Struthio camelus: one gene and its partner. The protein of the gene in region 1 interacts with the protein of each later gene in a pairwise test. Links are inferred from orthologs where the notes say so. Each region holds a gene or a part of one and is shown in the gene's direction. Other genes may lie near its edges. The genes, in order: GPN1 and GPN2.

The links.
Region 2: the proteins of GPN1 (region 1) and GPN2 interact in binary tests that used the Homo sapiens proteins (3 or more experiments, as listed by UniProt). The link is inferred for Struthio camelus from reciprocal best matches to the Homo sapiens genes GPN1 and GPN2.

The regions. Positions count from the first base shown.
Region 1 is NC_090944.1:467,658-478,426, reverse strand, and holds the start of GPN1 (GPN-loop GTPase 1), read left to right. Parts: upstream 1-5,449; 5' UTR 5,450-5,502; coding exon 5,503-5,598; intron 5,599-5,671; coding exon 5,672-5,765; intron 5,766-6,808; coding exon 6,809-6,848; intron 6,849-8,408; coding exon 8,409-8,475; intron 8,476-9,216; coding exon 9,217-9,254; intron 9,255-9,823; coding exon 9,824-9,902; intron 9,903-10,004; coding exon 10,005-10,099; intron 10,100-10,769. Other genes in the region: ZNF512 (zinc finger protein 512), read right to left, coding at 688-896, 2,183-2,241, 4,404-4,535. UniProt on the Homo sapiens protein: Small GTPase required for proper nuclear import of RNA polymerase II (RNAPII). May act at an RNAP assembly step prior to nuclear import.
Region 2 is NC_090964.1:6,815,662-6,826,312, forward strand, and holds the start of GPN2 (GPN-loop GTPase 2), read left to right. Parts: upstream 1-6,231; 5' UTR 6,232-6,321; intron 6,322-7,066; exon of another isoform or gene 7,067-7,246; intron 7,247-7,504; 5' UTR 7,505-7,533; coding exon 7,534-7,950; intron 7,951-9,518; coding exon 9,519-9,675; intron 9,676-10,135; coding exon 10,136-10,273; intron 10,274-10,429; coding exon 10,430-10,590; intron 10,591-10,651. Other genes in the region: GPATCH3 (G patch domain-containing protein 3), read left to right, coding at 7-364, 709-1,130, 2,504-2,678, 3,071-3,130, 3,405-3,526, 3,794-3,921, 4,558-4,777. UniProt on the Homo sapiens protein: Small GTPase required for proper localization of RNA polymerase II and III (RNAPII and RNAPIII). May act at an RNAP assembly step prior to nuclear import.

The DNA.
Region 1 (10,769 bases):
AAACAGTACCGTAGCACAGTTTAGGAAAACAGTAATACTCAGTAAGAGAGCAAGGAGGGAAGAGAGATCCAGGAGATGAAGAAAGAGCAATAAGACTGACATTTTGGCTCTCAGCCACATGAAAAGTTTGGAAAACAACTCCTAAGACCAGAAAACCTGAACGTCCCTGCTTTACTATAGCAAAGTAAGAGATAATCTTGACCTCCAAACCACTCTAAATCAGAAAATCATGAGAAAATTAAAACATTTTTAAAAATCCACAAAAAAGTCTAACAACTAGAAAAGCTGTGTCTAATCCAGAATACTGCTGCATGGTCCACTTTTGTACATTTTTAGTGTTGCTTTGTTCTGTTCTTAAAGCTGTCAAAGCATTTTCCTGAAACAGCTGGCAAAACCCTTAGACGTACTTCTTCTATAGACAAAGCCGAGTTCAGCCATAGAATCATTAATTTTAATAGGCAAGTCACTCATAACACTATGCAGGTTATGCAGACCTGCTCTCACAAGGCAGAGATTTTTACCTAAGATTCTGAAGTAGTAAAAGTTTCTCTCTCCTAATACACAAACATCATTACCAAGTTTGGAATTTGTGGCTGAACTTCAGCAAGTCTTTCAAAACTCATCCAATCTCTCACAAAAGAATTGGAGAGAAAAATAGTTTTATATAGAGCCAAGAGTGATGAGTACCTTTTTTTCCTGAAGTTTTGTTAATGCTGGTTTTTATTCCTCTCATTTCCAACCAGTAAGCAGGCCTGCGAATTGTCCTCTTGCTTCTTGACTCTGCACTCCCGTTCACTCGACTCTTGGATGAGGCAGAAGAAACGTTGCTGACTGTCTCATCATAGTTACTGTTCAGTCCTAGGACAGTAGTTTCCAGCTCCTCAAATTGCTTAGATCTGGAATACATCAACTTGAAATCATATATACGTATGTACGTAAACAAACAAAACCACAGTGACTTGATAGACAACATCCCTTTCATCTTCCCAAGCACTCTAGAAATTCATCTCACAGTTCATTGACTCTCCTGAGGTTTGTGAAAGAAGTGCCAGCAAGGTAAAACATCCTAAACATTATTTTTCACTGCTTCTTTTAGAAAATGACATTAGAGAGCTACTCAAAAGCAGCAGAAAAAAAATTCATCCTACCTCAACCCTTCAACAGTAAGGAGCAGGTGCAAGTTCATCTCAGTTTAAAAATAAACATTTATCCTTAAGCTGTCAGTGTGGAATATAAGGACTCTTCTTCCAATCTTTTCCTTCTCATGAAGGGCAAGATCCCCTTCAGTATGCATTCCCAGAACGAGAGCTGACATTACACAAATTAAAGACTTAACACCAGGAAGAACTTTAACCGGCAAGGCCTTCAACAATAAAAGCCTGAAGATATATCCTATGAATCACATTATATTAAGACTAATTTAGAATGTGAAGTCAGCAACACTGATTTTATCTCTAGAGATCAGATGGAACTTTGCTGCACTCTTCTCAAATACTTCTCACAGCCCTGAAATGCCCAGACATTTACACTACCGTACATGACAGCAACGATTAAGCTGCTAAAAGACGCTGAGTACATATTCTCTGAGCAAATACCATTAATGTAAGAGGAGCAGAAGGAAAACAATTATCAACATAGCCTGTTACTGCCAGAATCCACAAAGGGAAACAAGTAGATCTTTTGAATGACAGCTGTGATGGCCATCCCAGAAATACTCTCCTACACCCCCAGCTGTGGAGCTCATGCCTTAACACTTTGGTACAGAAGTTAAGAAGTCAGGGACAGATTGTACCAGGTGGGATAGCACACACTATGTTTGAGGAGTGTAGAAGGCTGTTGAGAGGAATTCTCAGATTGAAACCTTTGAATTAGTATTTCTCATGCTCAAAATGCATGGATTTGGGAACACCATTTAGCTCTTCAAGCTATAATTTCTATCTTCCCAGTGTTAAAATCCTTTTAAAAAACAAAAATGAAAGCTTATACCAGTTGAAGTGTCAGAAAAGTGCTTTTCCAATGAGCTAATAAGCAAACTCAATTGAGATTCTCATCAAACAAATCAAAATGGTTGCAGCTCTTTTTGTTGAGGCTATTATTGAAAATATCAGACACAGCTTCCCAATAGGAATCGCTCAGCTTTTTCCTTGCCCTCAGTCAAACTTGACAAGAAATGTTCACATACTTTTTGTTTCCCAGAGATCTCTTGACCTTCTGTTGTCTGTGATGTTCAGGCCTGGCATCCTAACAAAGTAGAACAATTCAGATTAGCAGTATAATTTTTTTTTCTTCTTGCATGTTTCATTTTTCAGTTCAACACAATAAACTGCACTTTGAGGAGCTGTGTACCATTGCTTTGAAAGGGAAAGCACTGTCTTCTGCAACAAGGAAGCGTTTACCCCTTTCAACTCCTGTTGAATTAGAACAGGAATCAAAACAGGGACAAGGCCCTCCCCAATCCTCTCCCCGTATGAAATTCAATCTCTCCCCTTGCACTATAGCATGATGGAAGATGCTTTGTCTCCAACTCACTCAGTGGTACCTGCTTTCTGCCTAGACTTTAGCACATGATGAAAAGTATTTTAGATTCTAACCTACTAGTTTTTCCATAGTACTTCTTCTTTCCTTAATGAAATTAGTCTTGCTTTTTCCATGTCAAGAATGTTGGCTCTAGCCTCCTCTAAGTTTTCTTTTCATGTTTTATCTCCATTACTTTGTCATACTCCATCAGTTGACTGAATGTTTACTTTATCCACGTCTCGAAATCTTTCTTCTTATTTAATAAAGGATTTTTCTCATTTATTGCTCTCTACTTCTTGTATTTTTATTAAGACATGTAATGCAACAGATACCATTGACAACCCTAAATCAATATAAAGGACATTCTCTTGGCATGTGGAGAATCATTTATTACCTTCTTCCAAATACTAAATGACTCAATCTCATGCCTCATTGGGAAACCCAGGACACAGATTTTGGTTATACTGACCAGAAAACAAAATCAATGCACAGTAAAAGTATGACACAGAAAAAACTGTGAGCTAGAAACAGAGATAAAATTGCCACATATAAGAACTGGCTAAGGGACTGAAAACAAGGAATATGCCCAAACGACCTATCTTCTTTATAGAAAAATGTAACACACGAGTCAACTGGACCCATGCTATAAAGTGCTTAGTTATTAGAAATAAATATTAGAAATTATCTGGGGAAAACAGTGAACAGGTATGTGAAAGAATTTGAAGAGGTCATAAAAATGTAATAACTTGTCAGAAGCAGATGCTGAGAAATTTCAGACGCTGTACTAAGAGACTAGGGAATAGGCAGCTTCAAGACAAGTGAAATTCATCACTAAAAAAATACATGCAACTGCACATTGGAAAGATTAACTTGAATCTGTCTTATACGCTCCTACCTTCTAATTTATGCTTAGGAACATATATAAACAACTGAAAAAGATTTGGATATCACGATGAGCAGTTCAATTAAACCTCTGCTTATATTGTGGCAAAAAAAAGATCAGTAAAGTTAGTTTTACTATATGTGCATGCATGTACCTACACATACACACGTATAAAAATACAGTCTTGCTATAACCTAGTAGGTCACTCTTCCTAGGAAGACAATCAGCGAGAGACTTCTAACCCCAGGTACACACCAGGGAAGAGACTCAGAAACAAGCGTGGACATCAACTATATGAATTCTTAAACTGCAGTCGGGGACCGTCAAACTTTCCTTGGGCCTCTACCTCTAGCGCCTGCTCTCGTGGAGAGGTTAACAAAGTAGCTGGAAATACGTTAACAACTGCTTGACCAATACTCTGACAATCACTTGTCGTCTTTGGAAGAAAAGTGAACTGAATGTTTGTATTACTTTGTCGTGGCTCACACGCCACGAGCAGTACTAACAGCAACGTCTGGGGACCCCTACATCAGAAACCTGGAGGAACTGCAGCGTGATGAGACGCTGGAAAAGATTAGGCCTGTGAAGTTGCAATGAGAAAAAGAAAAGAATATGCATAGCCTACTGTGATCAGCTGGCCTAATTCCCCGTTGGAAGAACTTGAACTACTGACAAACATGGCACATGTTTTAAGATTTTTTAGGACTGCAAGATTTTGTATAAAACTGGAGAATTAGCATGAAGAATTTGAGTGAGAGTTAAGGGTCTGCAACAAAAAGGAGCTCTCTGATCTGTTTTGCCTTACTTTCCGAGAGGCTGATAGCAGCAAGAACGAAGAAAACATCTAGAGAAGCTGACATTTAAAGCGTTGGGTGTTTCTTATTTATACAATGTATTTCCCACTTAGAAATCACTGGGAAAACACTGGGAAAACACTGAGGACAAGAGTATGCAGGAATGCCAAGGGCTGGACACACGGCAAATAGAAGTAGCACCTTACAACCTGAAAGGATGAAGAAGGGACTTCTTTCCCAGGTGTGCTACTCCTGCTACTCCAAATCCAAGGATTTGGAGGACGTTCCAGGCTCTGGAACGTGGCCTTCTGCTGGGGACAGGCTGCTCCACCACCACGCATAAGCCCTAGTCTGAAAAATGGTGTTTAAACAGAGGACAGAAACTCCGCTGGAGGAGTTGAACTAGACCTACAGCTGCGGAGAAGAGGCGTCAGCGGAGGCATCAAGCACTCCAGGCTGCTGTGCCTGTCCCACCCCGCCAGGTAAACCCCGGGCACGCAGGACTGGCTCAGCCCCTTCTGGGCAACTGCGTGCTCTAAGCCCACACGTTCATTGCTCCCTGCGTGCTTCACGGACTGACGTTTCCTGAAATAAAGACCTCCTAGGACAAAACGGATAGCCCCGCCGGGGCGGGAGCCGGCGGCACCCCGCTCCGGGCCCCTCCCCACGGCCGCCGGCGCCTGCCGGGCCGGCGCCCGGGCTCGAAGCGGAAACCCGGCGCTACCGCGGCGGCGGCGGCTCTGCGGGCACGCCGCAGTCCCGGCGCGAGGACCAGCCGGCGGGCGGTGATAAGCGGGGGCCCGGCCTCGGGCTGGGCCCGCTCGCCGCGCCGTCCCCAGCCCGCGGCCCGGAAGGACCCTCGGGGCGAGGCGGCGGTCCCGCCCCGCCGCGGCCGCCCCGGTGCCGCCGTGCTGATGGCGGAACCCATCTCGCGGCGGCTTCCGGCCCTGTGCGCCCTCCCCCCCCCCTCCCCGCCCGGGACCGGCGTCGGGCCCATGGCCCGCCCGGGGCAGCAGCCGACGGCGAAGGCCGCGGGCACTCACCGAGCCGCCGCCGCCGCCCCGCATGGTGCCGCCACGTCAGCACGCACCGGGCGGAAACTCCCGCCCGCCCGGTCGCTTCCGGGCGCCTCCTCGCGGCGGCTAGCGGGGCCCGGGCGGACGGCTCGGTGCGGGGCGCCCGCCCGGCGGCGGGGCGGCGGAGCGGGACGGTGCGGCGCGGCGGGGCCTGCCCTGCCGGCGTCCTGCCCTGCCGGCGTCCTGCCCCCGCCTCCCCCGCGCCCCGGAAGGACAAGTGGACACTGGGAAGATGGCGGCGGCGAGCGAGGCGGCGGCGGCGGCGGCGCCTGCGGTGTGCGTGCTGGTGCTGGGCATGGCCGGCTGCGGGAAAACCACCTTCGTGCAGGTGAGCGGCAGGGGCCGGGCCGGGGCCGTTCTCCGCCCCCCGCCCGGCCTGACGTCTGCTCGTGTCCCCGCAGCGCCTCGCGGCCCACCTGCACGGCCAGCGCTGCCCGCCGTACGTCATCAACCTGGACCCGGCCGTGCACGACCTGCCCTTCCCCGCCAACATCGGTGAGGCCTGCGGCGCGGGGCAGCCGGGGGGCTCGCCTCAGGGGTCCGCCAGAGCGGAGCAAGCCCGTTTTTCCATAGGTTAAAGCGTTTGTGGTGTACTGGTTTTCCCGCGTTTCACGGAAATGCGGGCCGTGCTTTGTAAGGCGTTTGGCTAGGTTGTTTATGCTCCTTTAAAAAGATGGCAAATGCTAGCATGAGAAGGGCCTCCGTGTAATATTTTTTTTCTTGACTTTTGATTCTTTTCTCCTAACAAACTTTTTTCTTAGTCATGTATTTCTTGAGACCAGTGCTATCTTACCATCTTGTTTGTACCTTTTTGCATTGCCTTGTGTGATTTGATGATGCTCTGTTTGGTTTCTGTTGTTTTTGTTTGTTTGTTTGTTTGTTTCCCTTTATCAGTGCTGAACATGGTAACAGGTTTGACCTGTTCAGACCCTCCAGGTCTTTCCTCTCCTTTTCAACTTTTTTCAAACACTTTAAAATACGTTAATTTTAAGGAAAAGATCTTAATAATAAAACAGACCTTGTGTCCGCTCATTCCTAAAGGCTTGTCATGCCTAAGGGCTTACTGTTCCTTGGATTTGTGGTGGTCCTATCTTTTATACTTTCTAGAGCTCATCAGCCTGGTTCTCTGGGCAATAATAAAGGTGGTGTGGATACTGAAGTATTTTTACTGGTGTCAAATGAAGAACTGGAGAAAGCATTCTAATGCCAGATCTCTCATAATGCAGTTAAATACTTGTACTTTGTTAACTGATGTTGGCCAACTGAGAAGAAAATTCAATGTAAGCAGTTACAGCTAAGTACTTACACTGGAGATATTTCACATGAATTACCTTGGGTTTTATAGGTATGTCGACAGCATAGCAAATCCATTATATTTTATGTATTCTATCTGTGAGTCTTCTGTTGTTGCTAGATTTATTATTGAGGCAAAAGGAGAGCTGCTGGACAAGGAAAGGCTTTCTCTTATCAGCATGTTGATAAACAAAGCTATTTTTGAAGTAATGTCTTAAAACTATTTATACTTCTTCTCCCTCCAGATATCCGGGACACAGTGAAGTACAAGGAAGTCATGAAACAGTATCCTTTTTTCCTCTTACAATGATCTGTAAAATTTCCAAATACGTGAAAGTTGGCCATCTCTTCTGCCCTTTAGAATGAAGAGAGGGGTGTGTATTGGGGATTGGAGTAACTCAGAACGTTGTGCAAAGACCAGAAGTTTTTGACTGGGTATTTCTTACATTGAAGATTAGAAATGCATTTTGAACAAGATCTGATACTCCTTAGGTCGTTCCCTTCTCCTGTGCTAACAGTGATTCAGCCTAGGAATACCTTTTCACAAATAAGAAGCACTCTGTCCACCTCTCTTTTCTGTTCTTTAGACCAGCTTGTGTCTTTCATTGTGAAAGCCAACAGCCTTTTTCCCATGCATGTATAACCCTGTTTTTGTTTGTTATAAGCATATCCAAATTCCTGCTTGCCTTTAGTAGGTGGGGAAAACTTTTCTTCTTTCTCTCTCTCTCTATCTAGGCAGCTTTCCACATGATTTGAACATAAAGCCCTGTTGTCTTTCTGAATCTCTTAAGACATTGGACCATTTGCTCTTGCTACACAATAGTTTGACTGTAGTTCAGTGACATGACACTAAAATGACTGCACCCCCAGTGGGATATGGAAGTCCTTTGACCTCCTAAGTAATGGCTTTTGCAGATGGAGATGCTGTGCAGGGTTTAGATTTGGCATACGAGTGAAACTCTTAATTAAAATATTTTAGAAAAGAAGAATGATGGTGGGGGTTAGGATTCTGACTTTTGCTGGTGTTTGATTAGGATTTACTAACAAAAACCATCTGAGTATAAGTTTAAATTTGGTACACAGATGCGTTATTTGCTCTACTGTGTCTGTTGTTAGCCATTACTGGAGTTTAACCATCTCATTAAATAGTGCTTAAGGAGAGTGTTGGGCAGCTTGTTTGGACATTGAGAGCAGTGGCGCTGGAAGACTGCCTGTACTGATGAATCAGTGCTGGTTCTTGTGCAGTAAATAAAATATTTAATGTAATAAAAGATTCTTTCCTTCATTGCACATAGATCCGTATGTGTGCAAAGCATTTTAACATCTTCATCTTTAAGCTGTCTTTGATAAGCTGAGTGTTTTTACGAAGCTCATTCCCATTCTTTCCCTTTACATTTACCTAAAAACTAATTTGTGCAAGAAATTCTTTAATTATGTTTTGAAATATGCATTCTTAAAGTTTCAGTGTATTCAGGACATTATCTTTCCGAAAAGATTTATAACACCGCAGCCAGTAACTCAGAATTTGATGAAGATTGCTTTGATCATTTTGGACAAAGAGGAAAAAACTGTAATGCTTGAATGATGATCAAGGGAAGGCCATGGTGTAGCCCCTTTTCCTTTTTGTCAATCATCCATGTGTTTGTGCAAGAGACAGACTGCTTTGTATTTGTTATGTTACTGCATCACTTAGGAAACTTAAATATGTGCCCTTTAGAGTTACTGACGTTGTCTTTTGCTGCAAGGTGCCCAATGTGCATTGTAAATGACCCCCTATTATCAGATTTGAGAAGGAAGCACTCTGAGGTCTGTGTAATTATAGGCTTTCCTAAATAAAGTATCCAGATATGGGCTGGGCCCAAATGGTGGAATAGTGACCTCTCTCAATCTCTTTGCTACAAGATTTGATCAGGTACGAGGTTGTTTCCGTGTGATACTGTGCTACGTGTTTGTGGGAGACTGTTATTTATTTCTCGATCTGTAGTTTCAGAGAACATTGTTTGATTCAGCCAGTTAATTTTTCTTCTGAGTTATTCTCCCTGCTGGACCATGTATCCTGTAAAGTAGCTGAACTACATTAGCTCTCAATTTGAGAGAGAGAGCAGTTTTCCACCTTTTTTGTGGGGGTAAAACTTAGAAGCCATATGTACAGAACATTGATACTTTAGTCTTTGTACAAAACTATTCTGTTACACTATGTTCCCTGCAAGATTTTCATCTTTTTTATGAATGCTCTGATTCTGGAGTAGGGAAGCTGACTTCTGGAGATCAGTCAGTTATCCAGTGTCACTAGAGAAACCTGACTGCTCTCTTGAATCTTAATCCCAATGCTGGGAACCTTACACACGACATTGAAGCACTGCACAATCCCTTAGTAAAAAGGTAGGGAACAACTGCCTTTATTATACAGATTCTTTAGCCAGGTACTAGAATGTGGGCAAAGTTAAAGTTGTTGTGGCACATGCAGTGTCTGAGCATTTTCCACCCTTCCTTAGTAGGGCATTTCCACACGTTGAAAAGCTTAAGAGCTTTGATTTGCACATGTAGCTGTGCGTGTTTAAGCTGGTATAGTTTCTATATACAGAACAATTCTAAAAGCTTCTTGTTTTGAGCCTAAGTGCAAGATAAACTGCTACTTTTTCTTTTCAATCAGGTCATGAAGTTTATTGAAAAAAGACAAAATGCATCCAAGTGAGTATGCTCTATGAAGTCTTACTGTTTTGGAATCACTGTGGGAAAACCATGCGAGACCCTAAAAAGGATCTTTGCATGTTTTCTAGTTGTTTTTCTTTTTGTTTCAGTTTAAATTTTATCTGAAAAAGGACATAGAATTAGAAAAGATAAACTAGACTCTTACCTGATACATGTAAGTTGAAGAAAGAAATATCTACCGGTGCCAGTTCTGCCTTTTTTTGTCTTCCATTAGACCTTCATTTTCCTCCTTCACTGTTCAAATATGCAACAGTTAATTCTCGTTCTGAGGAGTTAACAATGTTAAGTATCCGTCACATTCATGCTTTTGATTTTAATAGTATCTGAAGAGATTAATAAGTGCCTCTTAGTTACATGGTGCACAAGGAAATTTTCAGGCCTGTCCTTAAATCTTGTCAGTCTTTGGGAGAAACTTACCTGATCCGTAACAAAATAGTCATGTGATCTGCCGTTCCCACGCCTCTGGTAATCTGATCTCACCAGCACCTTGTACTTGACTAGTTTCCTCCCCTCTTTTTTTTTGTTTGTTGGGGATGATTTCTTAACAGGTATGTTATCATTGACACACCAGGACAAATAGAGGTATTCACCTGGTCAGCATCAGGAACCATCATAACTGAGGCACTGGTAAGTATATTCTACAGGACTTGACAGCAAGGTTGTGTGAACAAAGTGGCGATTGAATAGCCTCTACTTCTAACTAAAATATCTTTTACCATGTGTTTCCAGGCTTCCTCTTTTCCATCAGTTGTTGTTTATGTGATGGATACCTCTCGCAGCACTAATCCTATCACCTTTATGTCTAATATGCTGTATGCCTGCAGGTAGGAAATGCTGAAAATCCATTTTTGATTGCTATGTCTCTTTCATCGCTATTTTGGGGGGAATATTTGTTTGGATTTCATCTGAGGGGCTTTTCAGATGAGGAGAATCTGTCTATCTCAATTCTTGGGAAAGTGGTTGAGAGGAAGCAGCGAGGATTTGGGGCTTTTTGTTCACGGGGAAGGTGTAGCCAGACTGTTATAGTGACTATATCCAGTCTGTGTGCTGGCTTGAATGATGGATTTCTGCTACTCAGTTTAAAATGGGGCAGTCAAATTATTAAATACGTGAATTACAATGTCAGCTTCTTTTATAAAGCTTCTTTTTACATTTAGTCCTTTCAGGTGTTGACTTTGTTAAAGTTTTTGTCTTCTTGCCCTCTTTGAGAAAGGATGAGACTAACTTAGGTTTTCAACAAGTAGAGGTTTAGCAGATTAAATATCTGTTTGTAATCTTTTTATTTACAATATCTACAGACCCACTAAGTCTCTAAGGAGATTTAAAGATGGTACACATCTTTACAGGTATTACTGTGACGATGTATAGGGCTGTTTGCAGGTGTGAAACTTTCTGATGCTTTTCACATTCATGACATACATGCCTGGGTGGTTATACTTTCATAGTACTGTGTTGTCCCCTTCGTACCTAACAAAGTATATAGAGGTGGAGACA
Region 2 (10,651 bases), on another chromosome or scaffold:
GACAAGATGGCGGCGCCCAGCTGTGGCGCCGGTAATGGCGGCGCCGCTGCCGCCAGCTACTGCCTGGTGAGCGGCATCCCGGCGGCGCTCCGTTCCGCACAGCTCCGCCACTACTTCAGCCAGTTCATCGAGGCCGGCGGTTTCCTCTGCTTCCACTACCGGCACCGCCCCGAGCGCCCGCCGGCGGCGGGGAGCGGCGGGGAAGCCGCGGCGCCGCGCACTTGCTCCTGCCTGGTGGCCGTGCGGCCCGGGCGCGCCCGCCGCCTCGTCCGCATGTACTCGGGGCGCCGCTGGCTCGGGCCTGGCGGGGCCTGGCTGCCCGGCCGCTGCCTCGTCCGCAGGGTCCGCCTCAGCCCCGGTACAGGTACGGCCGGGCCTTTCCGAGGGGCCTGAGCTAGGCCTCGCCTCCCCGCACGGGCCTGGGGAGGGGGATCCGGTGCCAAACGGGCCCGAAGGAACCCCCGGCCCCAGCAGCCAGCCTATGCTGCTGTCCACTGGATGGTTAAAACCCCTCACGGAGTTTTCTCCCTGCCTTAAATCCACTGTGGGGTTGGAGGAGTCGGTTCTGGCTCCGTTCATCTTCTCCGTCTATAAAATGCTTGAGGCCGGTGCCTATGTGGGAGGGCGCCTGATTTATCCCCTCTCTGGTGGTGTGCCCGAGTGTGTGTTTTCTCCCTCCCCTGAAATCCTTGCCTCCCTCTCCTCCAGGTGCAGAGACATTTCCCTACAGAGGTGACAAGATGGCTGCGAGCGATTCTGTCGCTGAGGCGGATTTGAAGCGGCTGCCGGAGTTAAACCCGCCTGCGTTCATGCCTCATGGGAACGTGGGAACACCTTTGAAAGTTTTTCTGGAGTTGATCCGGGCCTGCAGGCTGCCTCCCCGGATTATCAAGAAATTGCAGCTGGATTTTCCCAAGACGGGCTCATCCCGTAGGTATGGGAATGTGCCTTTTGAATACCAGGACACTGAGACAGTTACAGGAGAAGAAGGAGTTTATACTGCAGCAGGGGACGAGATCACAGAGGACGAGGGGCCTGTGGCAAGGTCTGAGATGTCCAATTCAGTCAGTGCTGAGGAAGATGGGGCGGGACTGGAGAAGGAGGAAGCGGAAGAGTCGCACTCAGATGATGTAAGTGGATTTCTCCTGTTAACATCTAAGGTTAATCGTTATGACTGCAAAGCTGGGAGGGTCAATATAACTCTCTCAGAGCTTATTTTTCATTTCTTAATTGTATTGGGTAGATCATTTGTCTGAAAATGGTGTTAGAACAAAGTTGTTCAAATTGTGGTGCACCAAGACCCTTGGTGCACGTGGTGGTGTTGACATTAGCGTCTCTGAAGCTGGTTGTCCAAATTAGGCCAGTTTTAGGGAGATAAAACTGTTCAGCTCAAAGGGCTTGGCCCAAAAGAACAAGCACAGGCTGAGGCTAGTGCTCCAGGTGGAGGTCTCCGCCCCGCCACTTGGCGGACTGTCCTGGCTCTGCTGTTGCTTATAAATGATGTGGCTGGAGATTTAGAAGCGCATTAGTGTTTTCAAAATGACATGTGAAGCTGTACAAATGCTTGACCTTGGATGCCCTTGTGCTTAAAGTTATTCATTCCATGTCCCGAGAAGAATGATTTTCCTGACAAAGACTCCTAGACAACTGGGCTGGACAGGTTCCCCACAGACTATCTCACTCGCCCCCACGTGACAGACGCTTGTCTAGTCTGTTCTCATAAACCTCTGTCATTAGAGGGGTAGTACAATCCCCAGGCAAGCCATTCCCGTTCTCAGCTGTTCTCGCCATTATACACCAGAATAAACTTGTACGCCAAATCTTCTTTGCTGCAATTTTATTCCATTAGGTTATCCTAGCAACAGCAGACACCGAGAACACTTTGTTCCCGTCTTTACAAACTTCTTATTCAACAGCTGCCTTCAGTCTTTTCTCTTCCAGACTAAACAACTTGACTCCTCTAGCCTTTTCTCACAGGCTCTGTTTCCTGGATCTCTAATCATTCTTTTGGCTGTTCTTTAGTTGGTTGATGTCTTCATGAAGGGCTGTGCCCAAACTGGGCAGCCAGCAGCAAAGCTGTCAGTTTGATCTATGGCTCTGCCAGCAAGCTTCTTCTCTTGAAATGATACAATCTCTCTTAAGGATCAACTTGACTGGAATTAATTTGTCGCTAGCGCTGACTTTACGTACGACAGGCCTGCTCCTTAAATGGGCATCTTTGTGTTACGGATTGGCTATGTTGCTGAAAGGCTGCTGTGAAGTGGGTGTGATGTGGTATTTTCATCACTTTTGTCTGCTGACTCTGAAGATGGCATTAGTCAGGGGAATGAAGTCATCAGTGCGAGTCATGTTAGTGCCTGAAAACAGCAGGCTGGAACGAGCTCTGTTGACGAAGCTGTTTCACAGCGAAGGCATTGCAATGGACCGTGAGGGTCAGGGAAATGGGGAGGAGGCTGGGCCGTGTGCTGTCACTATTGCTCACCTTTCACTGCTTCCTTTGCAGGACAACGATACCTGTGAGGAGTGGGAGCGACATGAGGCTTTGCATGAGGACGTGACCAAGCAAGACCGCATGGAGGAGCGGCTCTTTGAAGAGGAGATTGAGCTGAAGTGGGAGAAAGGTGGCTCTGGGCTGGTCTTCTACACGGATGCTCAGTACTGGCAGGAGGAGAACGGAGGTAATGTTGTTAGCGTTTGTGTCTCAAGACTGAGCCGCAAACTAACCACCACTGTCTGGGGTCTTGGAGGCCAAGTCCTGCAGTAGCTGATAAATCAGGTACAACCCTGTACAATTATTCCTGTTCAGCTACAGATGCAGGCATCTTGCCATCACATGTTAAACTTTCCCTTTCTCACAAAGCCTGTAGTCATTCAATCCAACGGCCAGAGATCCCTCTCTGGTCCTACTGGCAGCCTTCTCTGTAGGCAGTGTGGCTTGTGGCATCCCAGCTACCCTTTCCTTTTCATTTCGCTAGAGAAAATGGGGGGCTCTCCAGCTGTCAGACAAGTCTTCTGTGTCAGGCTTTCACAGTCATCACCACCAAAACTGATGGTTTCTTTCTCTTGGCAGACTTCGATGAGCAGACTGCGGACGATTGGGATGTGGACATGAGCATCTACTATGACAAAGGTATCTGAGCTGAAAACCCTCCTAGGAAGCGGTAGAGAGAGGGTAGTCTTGAGCTTGCAGAATTTCTGCAGTGGGGGGACTCTTTGGCTCTGTCATCCTTTGAAAGTGTCCAAGATGTCAGAGTAGTTGAAACAGCATTTTTTTTGGTTTGGCAGCGAGAGTTGCCAAGGGGAACAGGTTCTGCCTCCTTGCTGCTTGGTGCTCTGGGGGAAATCAGAGTGGTGAAAGGCTTTCCTGAGCTGTGCTGCTCTGATCCTTGCTTCTTTCTTCCTAGATGGAGGAGATAAGGATGCTCGGGACTCGGTCCAGATGTGGCTGGAGCAGAGACTCCGGGATGGCTTGGAGGATGGGTCTGTTTCAGGGCAACAGATTGGGACCTTTGAGAAATACACCAAGGTGAGCTTTGGCTATGCACTCTGGAGTGGATGAGGCAGGCCAGGAAAGGCTGTGGTGGTGATGCTTAAAGGATGTGGGTCTTGGGGGAGCAAAGAGCTTAGGCATGTGGTAGGGGAGGAGGGTTCTGGGCGGGTGAGGAGGTGGCTTTGTCCAGCATCTCTGCAGAAGCCTTGAACCAAACTCCCGAGGTCACCCTGGATCGTAACCGCACCCATCCTGCCTTGGCCCTGGAGCAAGCTCACGTGGATCAACTTTTTCCCCTCCCAGGGCATTGGCAGGAAGGTGCTGGAGCAGCAGGGCTGGACCGAAGGGCTGGGGCTGGGGAGCAGCAACTCAGGAATGGCCGAAGCTTTGGACAACGAGGGTCAGAATCCCAGATGCAAGAGGGGGCTGGGGTAAGTACCCAACCCTGTCCTGCCGGCGCGTGTTCAGAGCCTCCCTCTGAACTGACAGGGCAGCTAAGTGGCAGTGAAAGGAGCAGAGTGTGAACCAGAACTGGAAGGCCACCCCAGGGATCTGCCTTCCCCCGTGCAGCAGGCAGTAGGGCCTGCCGCAGTGCTCTCGAGCACAGTACGCTGCATTTCTGACCCATAGTCTGACAGTCCAGCTCTCCCTGAAAGGGGCTTGCGATGCCCTGGGCTTGTGGTATTAGAAGAGGAGGAATGGACCCATTGCAGGTTCGTGCAGCACACAGGCATGGAAGGAGAGCAGAGCCGTATGGGAGCTGTGCTCAGATCTGAAGCCGTGATCACTTCTGCCATAGTCATCTTGTGACCTGAGCTGGAGCTGTGCATCTCCCCTCTACCTTCTCTGTGGGGTTTCCAAAGGCTTTATGCATTGCTATATTATGCTGTGAGGGCTGGCTTTTGTTCTAGAGCCATCGCACAGCCAGGAATAGGAAAATAATTTATTTTTTTGCCCTGTATTGGCCTGCTCCTCCCTTGTAGCGTGTGAAGGAGATGGCCTGGGGTATAAAGGGGTTTCCCACTGCCTCAGCAGTGCTGGACCCAGTGCTTCCTGCTTCCCTCCAGGTACCATGGGGAGAAACTGCCGACCTTCAGCAAGGTAAAGAAGCCTCGGCGAGATGGTCCCATCCTCATCTCCACCATCTATGATGACCCTGAGCCAATGGACAGTGGTGACCTACTGCTCAGGCGCCAGCCGCCCACTGCCATGAAGTACAGACAGGACATGCCATTTGTCCGGGCGTCCTATGGTGCTCAGGAGAGACCCAGTGCCCTGTCGCACTAAGCACGGACTGTCACAGAGCCTTTGTACTGGTCCTGCCTCCCTCCTACCGCAGGCTGGCTCCTGCTGGTCTCAGGTCTGGAGCAGGGCGTTGTTAGTATATTTATTTTTGGAAGAAATGGAGTTGTAACAAAAATTGCTTTTGTGGGTTTTTTCCTTCTTACTTGAGCTATTTCAAGCCAGGGGAGACATTGCTTATCCCATTTGCTCAGTGAGGTTGGGGAGATGACTGATGCTTTAAAGCCAATGCTAGGGGGAAGGCTGCTCCCTGGATTAGCCAAGGTTGTGTTCTAGGTCTGTAGCCAGTTCAGCCTGAAGATCGGAGCTCGTAGTTCATGGCTGCCTGAGACCCAGGGGAGGACAAGTACAGACAAGGCCAAACGTGGCACAGTAACTGTCCTGCAGACAGCTTGCTGCTGGCCTGCAGCCTCACGTTGCCTGGGCGTGACGATCCCACAGTCACAGGAGAAACTTGCCTTGATGAAAGACACGTCCTGGCAGCTTTCAGAGGAGCTCTGCAGGAGGCGTCTCCCTGCGGTCGGGCGTAGCAGTGCTTCCTTCCATGGCTCTTGGACATGCAGGGCCATGTTCTGCCTGTTTCCCTGACACAGGCAGCCTTTCCCAGGCTGCAGCGTCCCCAGTCTCTCCTGCGGAGAGAGCCTTCAGCCTTGTGACCCTGTACTGCAGCGTTAGACATGAATTAGCATTCTGCCTGCCTGCAGGCTGTGGCCTGGCCACGTTAGGCTGGCCAGACACCCCGGACTCCTTCATTAAAGCTCTAGCCGTAGTGGGAGTGACACAGAGAGCAGTTTCCCTTTTCTTTGCAATGAATGACTGAACTCGGTTGCAGGTCAGCAGCCCGGAGGGACAGGAGGACTTAGCCTTGGCAGCAAGGGCAGCTGCTGCTCCTGCAAGCTGAGACCTCCCTTTGATGGGGCTTGTAACTCTTGCTGTGGCACATATTGTGTTCCTCGCCGTGCTCTCGCTGGGGCTGCCTGCTTCTAATCTCAGACTTCAGTGGGTTTATCAGGGCTGGTAAGGAAATCAGCGGCTGGGTTGCTGTCACAGAGCCTTTGTGTTGGTCCTGTCACCTGCAGCCTGCTCCTGCTGCTCTTGGGGCTGGAGCAGGCCGTTAATACACATTTACCATAGAATATAGTATAGTTTAGAAACAGATCTGTAACAAAAGTCACCTCTGTGGGTTTTTTTCCTCCTGCAAGGGGTAGCACGGCTGAGCTGCCTTATCCAGCCTTGCTGTACCAGACCCCTCGTGTGAGGGGCGCTGGAGTGGGGGGTTTTTGCAGGAAACCCCTGTTCCGTAGCGCCGGCAGGGCCGCCGCGACCCGCAGGCGGGGCCGGGACGCGAACCCGCCGCCCGCGGTCGGCCGGGGCTCGGCGTCCGGCTGCGCCCTCGGCTCCCGCGGCGGCGGCGCGTCCCGCCGGCCGCCAGGGGGCGCCGCAGCGGTGTGGCCGGCCGGAACGCGGAACGCGGCGCGCGGGGCAGCCCGGACCCGCGGCCGGGGGCACCGGCGCGGCGGCGTTGGGGGGTGAGCGGCGGGGAGCGCGGCGGGGGGCGGAGGGGACGTGGGGGAAGCGTGGTGATGGGGGTGGAGAGGGGACGTGGGGGGGGGACAAGGGACATGGGGGGAGGACAAGGGACGTGGGGGGAGGACAAGGGACATGGAGGAGGGCAAGGGACATGGGACAAGAGACATGGGGACAAGGGACTTGGGAGGACAAGGGACTGGAGGGGACAAGGGACATGGAGGAGGACAAGGGACGTGGGGGGGACAAGGGACATGGGGACAAGGGACATGGGAGGACAAGGGATGTGGGGGAGGACAAGGGACGTGGGGGGACAAGGGACATGGAGAAGGACAAGGGATGTGGGGAGAGGACAAGGAACATGGGGGACAAGGGACGTGGGGGGAGGACAAGGGACATGGGGGAGGACAAGGAACATGGGACAAGGGACGTGGGAGGAGGACAAGGGACATGGGAGAGGACAAGGAACATGGGGGACAAGGGACATGGGGGGAGGACAAGGGACATGGGGGAGGACAAGGAACATGGGACAAGGAACGTGGGAGGAGGACAAGGGACATGGGGGAGGACAAGGAACATGGGGGACAAGGGACATGGGGGGAGGACAAGGGACATGGGGGAGGACAAGGAACATGGGGGACAAGGGACGTGGGGAGAGGACAAGGGACATGGGGGAGGACAAGGAGCTTGGGGGACAAGAGATGTGGGGGGAGGACAAGGGATATGGGGGGAACAAGGGACATGGGGAGAGGACACAGGGGATGCAGGAACAGCCTGGGGACATGGTGGAAGAGGGGAGAGGGGACATGCTGTGGCCAGGGAAGGGCCACGCCAGTGGTTGTCACATCGGGAAGGACCCAACCAGGGCAAAAGTCACCCCAAACAGGAGCGGGGGCCCGCGTCCCCCAGACACCGACCACCCCACGGGTCTCACGGGGAGCTTTGCGCCCACGTTCGGCCGCGGCGGCATTGCTGGAGAGGCCGGGCGGGAGGGGGGTAACGGCGGGCGCAGGACAATGTCCTGACTGCGATGTGGCCGTGCGGGAGGCCGCGGTCACGCAGTGGTGCTTTCCCTGCCCCTCCGCCCGCTCCTGGCGGGCCGATTCCCCACCGAGCTCGGGGCCCAGCGGATCGCCTTCTTATAGACGCAAATACAACGGTAAAGCTGAGCTGCTCCTCTTGCAGACAACAGGAGGAGAAGGAAATGAGCCAAGATGTCTGAAAACAGCCAAAGGGCCTCCCTGGCCTTCGGGCAGGTAGTGATTGGGCCTCCGGGCTCGGGGAAGACGACCTACTGCCACGGCATGCAGGAGTTCATGGCCAGGATCGGGCGCCGGGTGGTCGTGGTGAACCTGGACCCCGCCAACGAGGTGACGCCCTACCAGTGCGCCGTGGATGTCTCCGAGCTCATCACCCTGCCGGACGTGATGGAGAATTTGAAGCTGGGGCCCAACGGCGGGTTGATCTACTGCATGGAGTACCTGGAGGCCAACTTCGACTGGCTGCAGGAGAAGCTGGCTGCCTTCAGGGGTCACTACTACTTGTTTGACTGTCCGGGACAGGTGGAGCTCTACACCCACCACAACGCCCTGAAGAACGTCTTCGCACAGTTGGCCAAGTGGAACTTCAGGGTAGGTTTGGGGCCTCGCAGGTGGCTGGAATCACCACCTGGACCCATGTGTGCTTGTGAAAAGGGCTCAGGATTTTTACACCATGTGATCGGAGCTTTTGGTTGTGGATGTGGGAAATAATGATTCTTTTCTTTGCTAATCTCTTTGTCCTTTCATGTTCAAGGGGTTTATCAGGGAAGGAGAAGAGTTTTGCCCCCATTTTATGCTTGGAGGGATTGGCAAAGAGTGCCTTGCTCAGGACTTTGGCGGTGGCATCATCAGGGGTAGAAAGAGGGATTCTTTCCTCCCACACTCTGGCTTTGCTCTCAGGTCCTGTGCATGCAACTTGTATGTTTTATCTGAGGCTATATTTTGGAGCAGGGAGGTAGATTTGTGTGCTGGGGAAGTCAGGATCCTTGGCATTGCACTGTGAGAAAGTCAGCATCATCTCAGGCCCTACCTGCCACTCCTGCAGCCAACCCGAATCGCTGTGCACGCTGTAATATGTGCCGTGTGCTTTCTTGCACAATGGAAGATGCAAATTAGGAAATGCAGGTGAGAAGAGTCCCGTCACCAAGCTAACTTGCCTACGTTGCATTTGTTTTGCATTTGGGCCAAACCATGAATGTGCACACCATGTATGGTGTGAGCAAGAAAGGCAGGTTCATTTGCTTGAGAATGTCACTGGGAATCTGCACATTAGAATTGATTTTTATTCAAATAAATGTACATGAAATTGCAGTTGCTAAAATAAGATAGTTACGCTCTTTTTTGATGCTCAGTTTAGCACTAACAGTGCTTACCCCTGCCTATGAGCTTTACACTTACTTTTTCTGCTGCAGAAGCATAGCTGTGACTCAACCACACTTGACTATAGAGCCCTGACTTTGAGTAACATTGTGTAACAGGCAGTAACTTAACAGAGATCTTAGGCCACATTGTTAGAGCTGCATGAAACGCAGGGAATCAAACTGCTCGTTAATTTAATTATTAATTATTATTTCAAACCACATGACAATTGTTTCTCCCAGCAGAGTATGGTGTACTATAGTTACTGCTACCGAGTGTACACCGTGCATGAACATTCCTTTGGGGAAGGTGGGAATCTCACGGCAGTCCTGTAATTCAAAATGAGAGTTAACCCAGACTCCCACCCCCAAAAATCTGCGGAGTTCAGACAAGCGTGTTTCCTTGCTTCAGCTGCAAAAGAAAAAAGTCCTGAGAAACAGAAGAGCAGTAGCAAGTCGAAGTGTCTGTCAGCACTGCTGGTGGAGCTTAACTCCTCTATAAGTCTTCTCATGGGTCTTTCTCTTTGCTGGCACCCTGAATCCCTCGGGTGGTCTATGTGTGTAAATGTCGATCTATAAATAGACACACACACACACACACACGTATACAAGCGTGTATTTATATGAGGATGTTTCATATACACAAGCTAGAAGTTAGGAGGTAACTTTCATAATATGGGAACCTATGTGGTTATAATCGTGTCCGTTCAGTAACCACTTCTTTGATCGTCCCAAAAGTGAGTAGAGGGGCTCTTCGCTGTGTCTGACCTTGTGCTCTCCCCTTGCGCCTCTGCCATCCAGCTGGCAGCAGTTCACTTGGTGGATTCTCACTACTGCACGGATCCTGGCAAGTTCATCTCTGTCCTGTGCACCTCGCTCTCCACCATGCTGCACGTGGAACTGCCCCACGTTAACGTCCTCTCCAAGATGGACCTGATCGAACAATATGGCAAGCTGGGTAAGAAGAGTCTTTGCCAGAGAGAGACGTAGAGTTGGGCTGGGTCAGGGGCAGACTAGCAGCTCAGCTGCAGCATTGCGCTGGTGTGTTGCTGGGAGATGGTCGGGGAACGGTTCTAAATTTTTCTGGTTTCTTGGTGGCACGTTCTGGCTGGGGAAGCCCCAATACCCACAAAGTGCCCTCAGAGGTACTTGCTCAGGAAGCAGGAGAAACAGCACTGACAAAGGGTCCGGTGGGAGCACATCAGACCAGTGTGTGTCACAGTCTGCTCTTTCTTGCCATCGCCAGCTGCTGCTCTCTCACTCTGCCCAGCCTCAGTGCTGCTGGGGTAACTGAGTCTCCCCTGGTGCAGTTGTTGTCTGCTTTTGATCCTGTTAGCATCCATATTTGATATTAATTTAAACTAAGTGAGCCGAATTTGGCAGGAGTGTGCAAGGCAAAGCTGCGATTTGCACTTCAGCAGGTGCATGTTGCTGTGGGAGAATCCCCATTGCTGAAACCCACCTGCTGAAGAGCCTGGAAGGGCTTTGTGCTGTTAATGGAGCCTTTGGGAAGCAGTGTCTTCCCCGCAGCGGGGAAGGCTCTGGCCCACCTAATCGTAAGTTAGGAGCACGGTTATACTAAGCTCTAGAGCATCCAGAAAGTTGGGCACCTCTGGGGTGTGTTTAGCCCATGTGAGATCTGAATCACACTCTGGAGGTGCTGTGCTCTGGAGGCAGGTTCTGAAAGGTCCTTTGCTGATGTTTCCTTGCAGCCTTCAACCTGGATTATTACACAGAGGTCCTGGACCTCTCCTACTTGGTTGACCATTTAGCTTCCGACCCCTTCTTCAGAAATTACCGCCGCCTCAATGAGAAGCTGGTGGAGGTGATTGAAGACTACAGCCTGGTGTCCTTCGTTCCGCTTAACGTCCAGGTGATGCAGCAGGAAGAGTGGGGTAGAGAGAACAGAGAGCATTGGACGTGTAGCCAACGCA